Cricetulus griseus: one gene and its partners. Each later gene encodes a partner of the first gene's protein in a complex. Links are inferred from orthologs where the notes say so. Each region holds a gene or a part of one and is shown in the gene's direction. Other genes may lie near its edges.

What was found.
Region 2: Prpf4 (region 1) and pre-mRNA-processing factor 6 share a complex: the UniProt entries of both Homo sapiens proteins name them as parts of the U4/U6-U5 tri-snRNP complex. The link is inferred for Cricetulus griseus from reciprocal best matches to the Homo sapiens genes PRPF4 and PRPF6.
Region 3: Prpf4 (region 1) and Lsm5 share a complex: the UniProt entries of both Homo sapiens proteins name them as parts of the precatalytic spliceosome. The link is inferred for Cricetulus griseus from reciprocal best matches to the Homo sapiens genes PRPF4 and LSM5.

What each region holds. Positions count from the first base shown.
Region 1 is NC_048595.1:83,446,487-83,450,137, reverse strand, and holds part of Prpf4 (U4/U6 small nuclear ribonucleoprotein Prp4), read left to right. Parts: intron 1-549; coding exon 550-672; intron 673-786; coding exon 787-894; intron 895-974; coding exon 975-1,093; intron 1,094-1,547; coding exon 1,548-1,741; 3' UTR 1,742-3,651. UniProt on the Homo sapiens protein: Plays a role in pre-mRNA splicing as component of the U4/U6-U5 tri-snRNP complex that is involved in spliceosome assembly, and as component of the precatalytic spliceosome (spliceosome B complex).
Region 2 is NC_048599.1:257,726-261,376, reverse strand, and holds part of pre-mRNA-processing factor 6, read left to right. Parts: intron 1-455; coding exon 456-594; intron 595-2,555; coding exon 2,556-2,675; intron 2,676-3,148; coding exon 3,149-3,325; intron 3,326-3,651. UniProt on the Homo sapiens protein: Involved in pre-mRNA splicing as component of the U4/U6-U5 tri-snRNP complex, one of the building blocks of the spliceosome.
Region 3 is NC_048601.1:84,604,965-84,608,715, forward strand, and holds the start of Lsm5 (U6 snRNA-associated Sm-like protein LSm5), read left to right. Parts: upstream 1-824; 5' UTR 825-900; coding exon 901-946; intron 947-1,865; coding exon 1,866-1,961; intron 1,962-2,239; coding exon 2,240-2,267; intron 2,268-3,189; coding exon 3,190-3,262; intron 3,263-3,655; coding exon 3,656-3,688; 3' UTR 3,689-3,751. UniProt on the Homo sapiens protein: Plays a role in pre-mRNA splicing as component of the U4/U6-U5 tri-snRNP complex that is involved in spliceosome assembly, and as component of the precatalytic spliceosome (spliceosome B complex).

The sequences.
Region 1 (3,651 bases):
TACCGCCATAGCCTGTTTGTTGCCATCATTGAAGATTTCTATTAAAATTGTTTTAGCACCCTAATGAAAGCTGATCATATATATTTGGGTCTTTTTCTGTATCTGCTCTATTTGTCCATCTGAATTTTTTTTTATGCCCAATAAATATACAAATGCTTGCTTGATGGATGAAGGGATATAACAATAGAATGAGGAGAGGAAAAAAAAATGCAGTCTTTGCCAAACTGTTCTTTAAGAATTTTGTTTTTGTTTGTGCTGGTGGTTGAACCCAGGGCCCTGCACATACGAGGCAAGCCCTGCCCCCTACTATTGAGCCCAAACCCCAAACCAGGGAATTCTTTTTGAAAATACCTGCTAAAGCAAAGTACAAAATGTTCTTGGTCTCCCAGTTGTCACTAAGACATACAGGCTTGAATGGTGAGGCATTGTTTATGCCAGAAAGGAATTTCTTGTTAGTATGACTGAATGATATTTATAGTACCTTGTATATAGTAGACTGACTCAGTCTGCTGTTGATTGTTGGTATAGTTTATTTTATTTGTTTTTAAGTTACGACCGTTCATGGCGCTTATGGGATTTAGAGGCTCAAGAGGAGATCCTGCATCAGGAAGGCCACAGCATGGGTGTGTATGACATTGCCTTCCATCAAGATGGCTCTTTGGCTGGCACTGGGTAAGCTTCCTCCACAAAGCAAGGGTTGGGCAGGTCAGTAGTCTCACCTCTTAGGCATCCCTGCTTCCCTGTGGAACTGGGTTTAGAGTACTCACATGTATGTTGTTTCTTCAGGGGACTGGATGCATTTGGTCGAGTTTGGGACCTACGCACAGGACGTTGCATTATGTTCCTAGAAGGCCACCTGAAGGAAATCTATGGGATAAATTTCTCCCCCAATGGGTAAAGCACAATCAGTGAACGGGAAGGGTTCTGGTCAGATAGTACTTTTTGTTTCTAACTGTGATACTTCTGATCCACAGCTACCACATTGCAACTGGCAGTGGTGACAACACCTGCAAAGTGTGGGACCTTCGACAACGACGTTGTGTCTACACCATCCCTGCTCATCAGAACTTAGTGACCGGTGTCAAGTTTGAGCGTAAGTTTTGCTCTTGTTCTCAGCCTTAACATCAGACCCTTTGCTTCATGGACTACATGCCAGGCATTAGACTTAGACATGGAACCTCTGTTACAGAAGCAAATTTTAATTTCCTTCCTTCTGCCATACCTACAGACAAAGCTATGGCAAAATATGCTTCTTGAGGCTAAGACTTCTGTTCAGGTTCTGTTCCATTTTGTCCTCCATGAATGGTCAGGCACTAAATGCTTGATGTTACTGTCCACCAGGGAAAGAGCACATAGACTTCATTCCGTTACTTGGTTGTCCTCAATCTGCTCGTGACTGTTCCTTAATCGTACAGGGCCCCCTAGGAATGTAGACTCTGTTACGTTTGTCTGAGATTAATATGTTTTGGCAGATCTTTGTGCTTTTTTTTTTTTTTTTTTTTTAAGCCCTTTTTTAATTGCTCATGTTTGCTTAATTTCTCCTGCAGCTATCCATGGAGACTTCTTGCTCACAGGTGCCTATGATAACACAGCCAAGATCTGGACCCACCCAGGCTGGTCCCCATTGAAGACTTTGGCTGGTCATGAGGGCAAAGTAATGGGCCTAGACATTTCTTCTGATGGGCAACTCATAGCCACTTGCTCATATGACAGGACCTTCAAGCTCTGGATGGCAGAGTAGGCAAGACCATGGAAGGACTTGGACCTTGTGCTCTCACCGAGGAGCCATTTTCCTCAGAGGAAAAGAATTGTGTTGTGTTCTATCATGTTTTCTGCCAAATACCATGTGTAGGATTGGATTTTCACAACAACCCCACTTCTGAGTAACCCAGTCTCTAGGTGATGGCAAACCCTTCATGGTTAGAATACAATTCTCATCTCAGGTTCTGCCATAAACCATAAACTGTGTAGACATTGTTTAGACTAATCGATTTGAATGTTCTCCCATCTCTTTCGGTTTCAGTACTCAGGATTGGGATTTTTTTTTTTTTTTTTTTTCTTTTTTGTATTTTGAGACAGGGTCTGTCTGTTTAGTCCTGACTGTCCTGTCTATGACAGGAGGCCTCACATTTTAAGTGACTCTCTGGCTTCTGCCTTCCAAGTGATGGCATTACAGAAGTGTGCTGCTGGGCCTTACAGTTGCTTTTGTAATGCTTGAAAAGTGGCTGGCTGTAACATGGTATGTGCTCTGTACTACATGTGATTCAGCAGGAAGATAGCAGACTGCATTTGAAACTCCCCCAGTTAAGAGGGCATGCCAGAAGGCAGGGACAGGCACTCACAGATCTCGAGGCCCGCCAGGTCTACAGAGGGAGTTCCAGGACAGGCTCCAAAGCTACAGAGAATCCCTGTCTCAAAAAACCAAAAGGCGGGGGCATTCTGCTCTAAGTGCTAGTTGAGCGGGGCCTGAGCAAGCTCCCCTCCTGCTCCAGAGGAGATGTCTGTCAAGCAGTAGACTGCAGCTGCATGATGATGCAGAAGCAAAGAAGATTGGCCTCTTCCTGTGGAGTTCACAGCTATGTTAACTGCATCAGGGAACTCAGAACTGAACATGTCTGCCTTGTTGGGGAAAACCTCTTCCATTTTGCTTTGAAGTTTGGCATCCTTCGAGATAAAACAAGGCCATTGTATCCAGATTCAAAGGAGTTTTTAGAAAACAAACATGTCTGTGGTACAACCTCCTTCCTGTTGATTATTTAAAGGGTGTACTTTATGTATTAAAAAGATACTTCGTGTCAAAGTAAATAAGGAAAAAAAATCCCTAATTTATGTTTGGGTGTTCCCAAACATGATCATTTTTTCTTTATTATACACTTGCTGAGAGTAAAATCCTACCATAAAAATGTCTTTCAAGGAGGTCCTCTTTAAGTTTTGAGAGCTAATGTAATTCCAGGGGTGAATTGTCCAATTTCTGACACTATTCACAGATGTTTATAGAGGGCTTTTTCAGGGGAAAGGGGTAGGGTTTTTTTGAGACAGGATCTTTCTGTGTAGCTCAGATTGGCGTCAGATTCTTAATGCTCCTGCCTCTGCATCTCAAGGTGCAAAGGGTGTACAGCTTTTTTTTTTAATAGAGTTGTTGGCCTAGGGAAGCCAACAGCAGTGAGCTGTGTCTGAGCTCCCTAATTCTTCATCAGTCTTGTGATTCTCTTCACCTTCCCACTGTGGGTATATATCCTCAAGAATTGAACAGTAAAATCCACACAAGACAGTAATGTAAGAAGGTCGTCTATATAGAGAGTAAAACTAGCATGAACTTGTATTCCGTATTCAAAACTACACTCTGCCAGCTTCCTGTTCTGTCCTGCCCCCTTCGGGTTATGGATATGTGGTATAGAGCAAAACATGGTTTGGGGTTTTTGTTTTTTTACAGAGTCTTACTATGTAGCCCTGGCTGGTCTAGAACTTAATGTATTAGACCAGGTTAAGCTCAAATTCAGTGATCACCTGCATCTGGCTTCCAAGAGCTAGTATTAAAGGGGTATGCCCACCACTCCCAGCAAAACATTTTAATCTGATTCCAGTTATAGCTAACCGTATTTCCTCTGTAGTTGTAAGCTTCTCAGGTCTATTCCTTCATTTGGAACTTAC
Region 2 (3,651 bases), on another chromosome or scaffold:
AGAGATGTCATACCCCGTATCCAAGGCTGACAAGACTTCTTATTCAGTAGTGTTCTAAAATCACTCTCAATAAGACCTTTTTGTTTTGTTTGGGGGAGGGGGTTATGGGTGCCAGGGACCTTAATCTTTATCAATGAATCCAGGGTGTCCTCTGTGCTTCAAGATAAAAGGGCCTTCATTGTCACCAGACTGCCATGTTATCACTGCCCCCAGGATACATGGCTGTAAAAGGCTTTGCTGTTTAAACAATGCTTTGCTTTATAGAGTCCTCTTCAGTAGTTGATTTTAGATTCTTTATGGGAAAGAAAGATTTCCCTACACTCTCCCCATCGTAAAATCTCGTAAATCATTAATAGTACCGAACTTTGGAGTGGTAGCTGTCTTTTCAGCATCTAGATGGCTGTGTGCTCTGATTTATGGCCCTGACCCTAGTGACTATGGCCTTTCTCTTGCAGGGAGTCTCTGGAAGCACTCCTGCAGAGGGCTGTGGCCCACTGCCCCAAGGCAGAGGTGCTGTGGCTCATGGGTGCCAAATCCAAGTGGCTGGCAGGGGATGTGCCTGCAGCAAGGAGCATCTTGGCCCTGGCCTTCCAGGTAGGTAAAGGATGCCTGTATTGGAAGGGGCCATGAACACAAACTCAGTGTTAGTGCTACTGTGGCCTTAGAGCTTACCTTGTGCATATTCTTTGGGATATGTCATGATCTAGTCTAGAGACACTGGATTGTGTGGGTGGCCTTGTCTATGAGGCCTAAGCATGAGGAACATTGCAACCAGCCACACTGGCCTCAGTTCCCTTCTATTTCATATGACTATAGGCCAGGTACTCCAGAGTACAAGACCACAATGTAAGCTGCCTGGGTGCTTAATGCCTTTGTGAGAGTGCTGTCCTACTAAAACAGATATACTTACTGGCCTAATGAGGCCTAGCTGTTACGATACATACAATGTTACTAAAACAGATATACTTACTGGCCTGCTGAGGCCTAGCTGTTACAATACATGCAATGTTACTAAAACAGATACACTTACTGGCCTAATGAGGCTTAGCTGTTACAATACATACAATGTTACTAAAACAGATAGACTTACTGGCCTAATGAGGCCTAGCTGTTACAATACATACAATGTGTGTGTGTATAAGCTAGAGGTCAACCTAGAGTGTCTTCCTATATCACTGTCTACTTTTTTTTTTTTTCCTCCTAGACAGGGCTTTTCTGTGTCTTGGCTATCTGTATCTCATTCTGTAAACTGTCTGATCTCGAACTCCCTCTGCCTCTGCCTCTGCCTCCTGAGTGCAGGGCTGCCTAACACACCCTGAGGGGTTTTTTTGTTTTTGTTTTTTTGGGTTTGTTTTTTGTTGTTGTTGTTGTTGTTTTGGGGACAAGATCTTTCAATGAACCTGGAGCTTACAGCTTTGGTTCACCTGGTTACCAATTAGTCTTTAGAATTCATCTGACTACACCCTCTAGTACTGGGGTTACAGATGTGCATTGCCATGCCTGGCTTTTATGTGGGTGTCCAGTAAGCACTTTACACACTAAGCCATCTCCTTAACCTACATGTAACATTTAAATTTTTTTACAACAAAAAATGATCCTAATATTTTTTTAGAAGCATGTGCTATCCTCCTGTGTCTGTGTCTTTTTTTAAAAGATTTTATTTATTTATTATATATACAACATTCCGATTCCATGTATATCTGCACATCAGAAGAGGGCACCAGATCTCATAAGGGATGGTTGTCAGCCACCATGTGGTTGCTGGGAATTGAACCAGTCTAGTATCATAGCCCAGGGCAACAGTAAAGTTTGTCTGTTGTAAATAAGCACCAGAAGAGCTAACTTGCGTCAGTACAGCTGTTATCCGAAGAGACTATAGGAATAGGTGATAGTGCTGTGCCAGATAAGTGATGTCCTTTCTACATACAGTTTTCTCCTCAAGTTGTGTGCTAGAATTTTAAGGTGGTTCACTTTTACCATAACCATAGACACCATGGCCATGTTGCAGAAGTCTTTAAGGAGGGTAGGTACACATTATGAGGCACTACTTTTATGTCCCCTGGACTCTTAAGTTTGTATAGCTTGGTCCATGCCTGTGGGAACCCTTTACACTTCATTATCTCACCTTGATCTACCCTGACCACATGGGCTACCTGAGGGGAAGGGATGAAGTTAGATGTAGCAGATTCTGATGCAAAGATGTGAGTGAGCCAATCATAGTTTTGAAAGGCCGTGCAGAATTTAGATGCATCCTAGAGAGGGTGGCTCTACAATACTAGTATTGTTGCTTCATCTCTGTACAAGAGTAAAAGAGAGAGAGAGAGAGAGAGAGAGAGAGAGAGAGTGTGTGTGTGTGTGTGTGTGTGTGTGTGTGTGTGTGTGTGTTTCCCCCCCAAGCTGAGATCTACATTTCCTAGCTTGTGCAGAAGCATACTAGTCCTGTATCAGAGTGAGGTTCAGTTCACTTCTCAGACTGCCTGTTCTTAATTAAGTGTGGTCTAGCCCTGGTCACTTTTGTTTTGAGCCTTTTTGATGCAGCTGTGCTTATTCTCCAGGCCAACCCCAACAGTGAAGAGATTTGGCTGGCGGCTGTAAAGCTGGAGTCCGAGAACAATGAATACGAGCGAGCCCGGAGGCTGCTGGCCAAGGCACGGAGCAGCGCACCCACTGCCCGTGTGAGTGGTGGCTGGTGGGTGGGGCAGTATTGGCAGAGTGCCTCTTGGCTCATACATGGCATTGGGAAGGAGTGAGATGAGTAGGACAGCTCATGCCACAGCCCAATCGTGTTATTGGGCTTTAAAATGCATTTCTTTAGCTGGGCGGTGGTGGCTTATACCTTAAATTCCAGCACTTGGGAGGCAGGGGCAGGTGAATCTCTGTGAGTTCAAGTCCAGCCTGGTATACAGGGCAACATAGAGAAACTGTCTTGAAAAACCAAAAAAAAAAAAAAAAAAAAAAAAAAGGCATTCCTTTATTTATCTATACCTCTTGTATATACAAAAGAGCTACATACAACAACTTATGAGGTACAGGACAGATGTGTGTGAACGATGTCTATGATGTCATGTGTGTGATATGAAGGTAGTTAGCATCCAGATAGATGGTAGAAGTAACAACTCTGGTGTGATGGTGCTTGTCTGCTTTACAGGTATTCATGAAATCTGTGAAGCTGGAGTGGGTGTTGGGGAACATCACTGCTGCCCAGGAGTTATGTGAGGAGGCTCTGAGGCACTATGAAGACTTCCCCAAGCTGTGGATGATGAAGGGGCAGATTGAGGAGCAGGGGGAACTGATGGAGAAGGCCCGAGAGGCCTATAATCAAGGGGTGAGCCTCTATTAAGATGTCTTAGGGGCCAGGAGATGGTAGAGCACACCTTTAATCCCAGCACTCAGGAGGCAGAGGCAGGCACATCTCTGTGAGTTCTAGTCCAGCCTGCTCTACAAAGTGAGTTGCAGTGCAGCTGGAGCTACACAGAGAAACCCTGTCTTAGTGGGGTGGAGGGGGAAAGATGTCTCAAGGAATAGCATGACATTGGTCAATTTCCCATGCTTTTGAAAGAAGTGGAGGGCCAGTGGTCTGTGATAGAGCTTTGTGCTTGAGACTGAATTTTTATGCTTCCTTTTGTTATGGATACTGTTTTCCTTTCTACA
Region 3 (3,751 bases), on another chromosome or scaffold:
TTATTTCCTATTTCGTGTCAGGGTCTTACTAAGTTGTCCATGCTTGGCAACTGTGGCCTCCTTCTGTTTCTTAAGCGCTGGGATTGCTGGCCACTCCTCACAGCAGCTTTTTATCTTTTTCCAAAACACAAGTGTGATAGCATGTTTTCCAAATGTGATGACACCAACATACGGAGTGACATCTAGCAGTTACCTGTAAATCAATAAGTGTTAGTAACTGCAAAAGCCTGCAATAAACTAGACTTCTAAAAGGACAAGAAGAAGCCGGGCATTGGTGGTGCACGCCTTTAATCCCAACATTGGGGAGGCAGAGGCAGGCGGATCTCTGTGAGTTCGAAGCCAGTCTGGTCTCCAGAGCGAGTTCCAGGACAGTCCCCAAAACAATACAGAGAAACCCTGCCTCGAAAAACCAGAATAAAATAAAGTAGCAAAAATTAAAAAAAACCTTTGAATACTCGGTATAGAATATTTTTAAAAGATGCTTCGTAAGGGTTTTCAGTACTCTAGGCTTAAAAGTACAGGATTCCTTAAGAAAATGAGTAGTAGTTGAGACAAACGCAGAACGAGTTGGTGATAGCAAATCCTCATTGATTTTATGGCTCTGAAGAAAGATCCAACCTTTTAGAGGAAAACTAGCCGACTCAGAGATCTCGTATGTTGTAGTCTTCAGGCAGATATAGAGGAGACAAACTGTCAAGTTAGCAAAACTTCGGGGGCACGGGATGGTGGCACCGATATAGTGCGGAACTATTCTATCGAGTCTGTCGGTGATCCATTTGGATACCCCGCGATCGCCAGATCTGCCTCCGATTAGTTCCGTCTGAGCCAGTTGTGGGAAAGGGCGGAAGCGCGCTCTTTTAAAGTCTGCGCCCGTAGCCCTATGCCACTTCCGGCGTGGCCATGGCGGCTAACGCGACCACCAACCCGTCTCAGCTCCTGCCGCTAGGTAAAAGTCTCGCCCGGGGCGCGGGCGGGTTGCTGCGGCCCCACGCCCGCGCCGGAGGCTTGCCCCTGGGGCCGCTGCGGAGACCGAGCCCGTTGTCTGTCGGCGGCCGGCGGGGGCCCCACTTGGTGAAGGACGCCCTCGGCCTTGCTTGTGAGCTCGCCGGTTAAGATGTCCCGGTGCCGGCCCAGCTCGCAGTGTGGCCTTTCCGGTCTACACCTTAGGGAGCCCCTGTATTGCATTTGGCGGTGTGAGGAGGGCGCCACGGTCTACAGTGACTCCTAGAAAGAAATCTGGAGACTAGCTCCGTCATTCGTTCGTTCATTCATTCATTCATCCATCCATCAAGCAGTTCCCTCCCCGTGCCAGGGTACTGTTGAATAACGAATTTAAACTACGGCCATTGCTTTCAGATAGCACACTGAAAGACTTCGTGCCGAGCAGTTCTCGGTTGGCCACGGAGATGCTCAGGTTGGTCTCCAAGCACAGAGCTAAAGGCAAGATGAGAGAAGTGACAGGAAGCTGGTGTCGGTCGTGAGGCCTCTCCTCTGTCATGTTTTGGCGCCGGTGAAGTTAGTCAATGTGGCAATGATGGAAAGTTCTTGCAGGGTCCACTCCAGGGTATGTTCATCGGCAGAAACACTGATGAGGAAAAACTAACATGGTTTCCACCTTGTGGTGTAATTGTTTTTCATACATTAACCAAATAGTCAAAATCACAGTCCCGTTAGTTGCAGCAAAAAAGGAGGTAAGCGAAGGCCAAGACAAACATTTGTGCTAATGGCTGAGCGGAGATTTGTGTAAGATGTAGTTATTTAGTGACTGCTTTTTGTTTCTCTTTAATGATACGGAAATAGTAAAGTGAGCACTCGAATGCTTGTTGAACTAATAAGTGGGTAAAACAATCTTTTTCTTTCCACAGAGCTCGTGGACAAGTGTATAGGATCAAGAATTCACATTGTGATGAAGAGTGATAAAGAAATTGTTGGTACACTTCTAGGATTTGATGACTTTGTCAGTATCCTTTTAAAAAGTGTTCATGGAACAGGTTTTTAAAGATGTATTAATATAAGAGCTGTAGACAGATGACATATTTCTGTTTATTACATTAAAAATTATTTATTTTCCAGGAACTTGGTAACATTTTAAGAGGTGTGCTTGCAGAAAGCAGATAGGGTTCTCTCCAACAACAAACCTTTTGAATTTGCACCATTGTGTTGAACATTTTTGCAACCAAACAAAAACATAAACCAGAATAAATTCAACCTTGTTTATTTTCTTAACAACAAATTTCAGATATGGTGTTGGAAGATGTCACAGAGTTGTGAGTAGTATTAAAAATGACAAATAAATGGGGGAGGAGAGGAGGAAATATCTTTTTGAATTAAAGGCAGGTACCCTAGTTCCTTTTCTGTTACTGTGAAGAGACAGCATGGCCAAGGCAGTTTATAAAAGAGAGCGTTTACTGCGTGGGCTTGCTTACAGTTTCAGAGGGTTAGAGTCCACGTTTTTTCATGGTGAGGTGTGTGGAGGCAGGCAGGCAGGCAGGCAGGTGTGGGGCTGGAGCAATAGCTAAGTGATTCTATGTTGAGATAACCATGAGACAAACAGAGAGCCAACTGGTTATAATTTATTCTTTTGAAACCTCAAAGCCCACCGCCACAGTGACACACCTCAGACAAGGCCACTCCTCCTAGCCATTCCCAAACAGTTCTGTCAACGTGAGCCCGTGGAGGCCATTTTCATTTAAACTACAATAGCAGGATTAGTATGATGGATAAAGTATTACCTGTTGGAATTCTTTTAATGCTGACTTATTTACCGGTATTTGTGAGGTTGGGCCAGAAGATTATTATCTTAATGTCATTATTCCTGAATTTCTAAGAAATTAGTGTAAACACGCTTTATAGTGACTTTACATTTACTTCTATATTATATCTTTGTAATATATCTTTATATTTACTTCTGTATTTATGAAGTTTTATATTTACATAACTATTATCTGGTGGGCAGACTGTATTGCTGAAAATTATTGTAATTGTATGAGTTCACATTCATTCATATGTAAGAATAACAGTTTTGATGCTAGGGATTGAACCTAGGGCCTTGTGCTCTGCCACCCAGGTGGTGCTCTGCCACCGAGCTAACCTCTTTACCCCAGGAATAATTTTTAGAGAGGAAAAGCGTTTCCAAAATAATTGCCTTTGAATACTTGTTTATCCTGACTCCATTTTTTATCTATTTAGTGAAATTACACCAGAAGGAAGAAGGATTACAAAATTAGATCAGATTTTACTAAATGGAAATAATATAACGATGGTAAGACATTAAAGCTGTTTTATTTTGAATTTAATTACTTTTATAGGGCAGGGATTACAGAACACTGCTGCTTAGCTCAGTGTTCACGGTCTAGACATGCTGAGGATGGGAAGGGAGCCTTCAGTGATCAGTGCCCCAACGCAGCTATTGAAAGAGCATTGGGCCTTAAGATTCATTTGCTTATTAATCTTTATTACCTTTAGTTCATCAGGAACCATTGTTGAAACTCTTAAGCATCAATTAATGTTGGGATTACTAGCAGATGTTGATGATCTGGGAAATGGGAATTGAAGGATAGGGGAGAGACAGTGGTGGCTTTGGTCCATGAGGAGCACATGGGGAGTTTTAGGTGGTATGATAGTGTTATTAATAAACTCTTTTTCTCTAATACAGCTGGTTCCTGGAGGAGAAGGGCCTGAAGTATGAATGGATTGCCCTGACTTATGCTAGATTCTGGCTTTTAAAAAAAACTTTGATGTTTAGATTCTA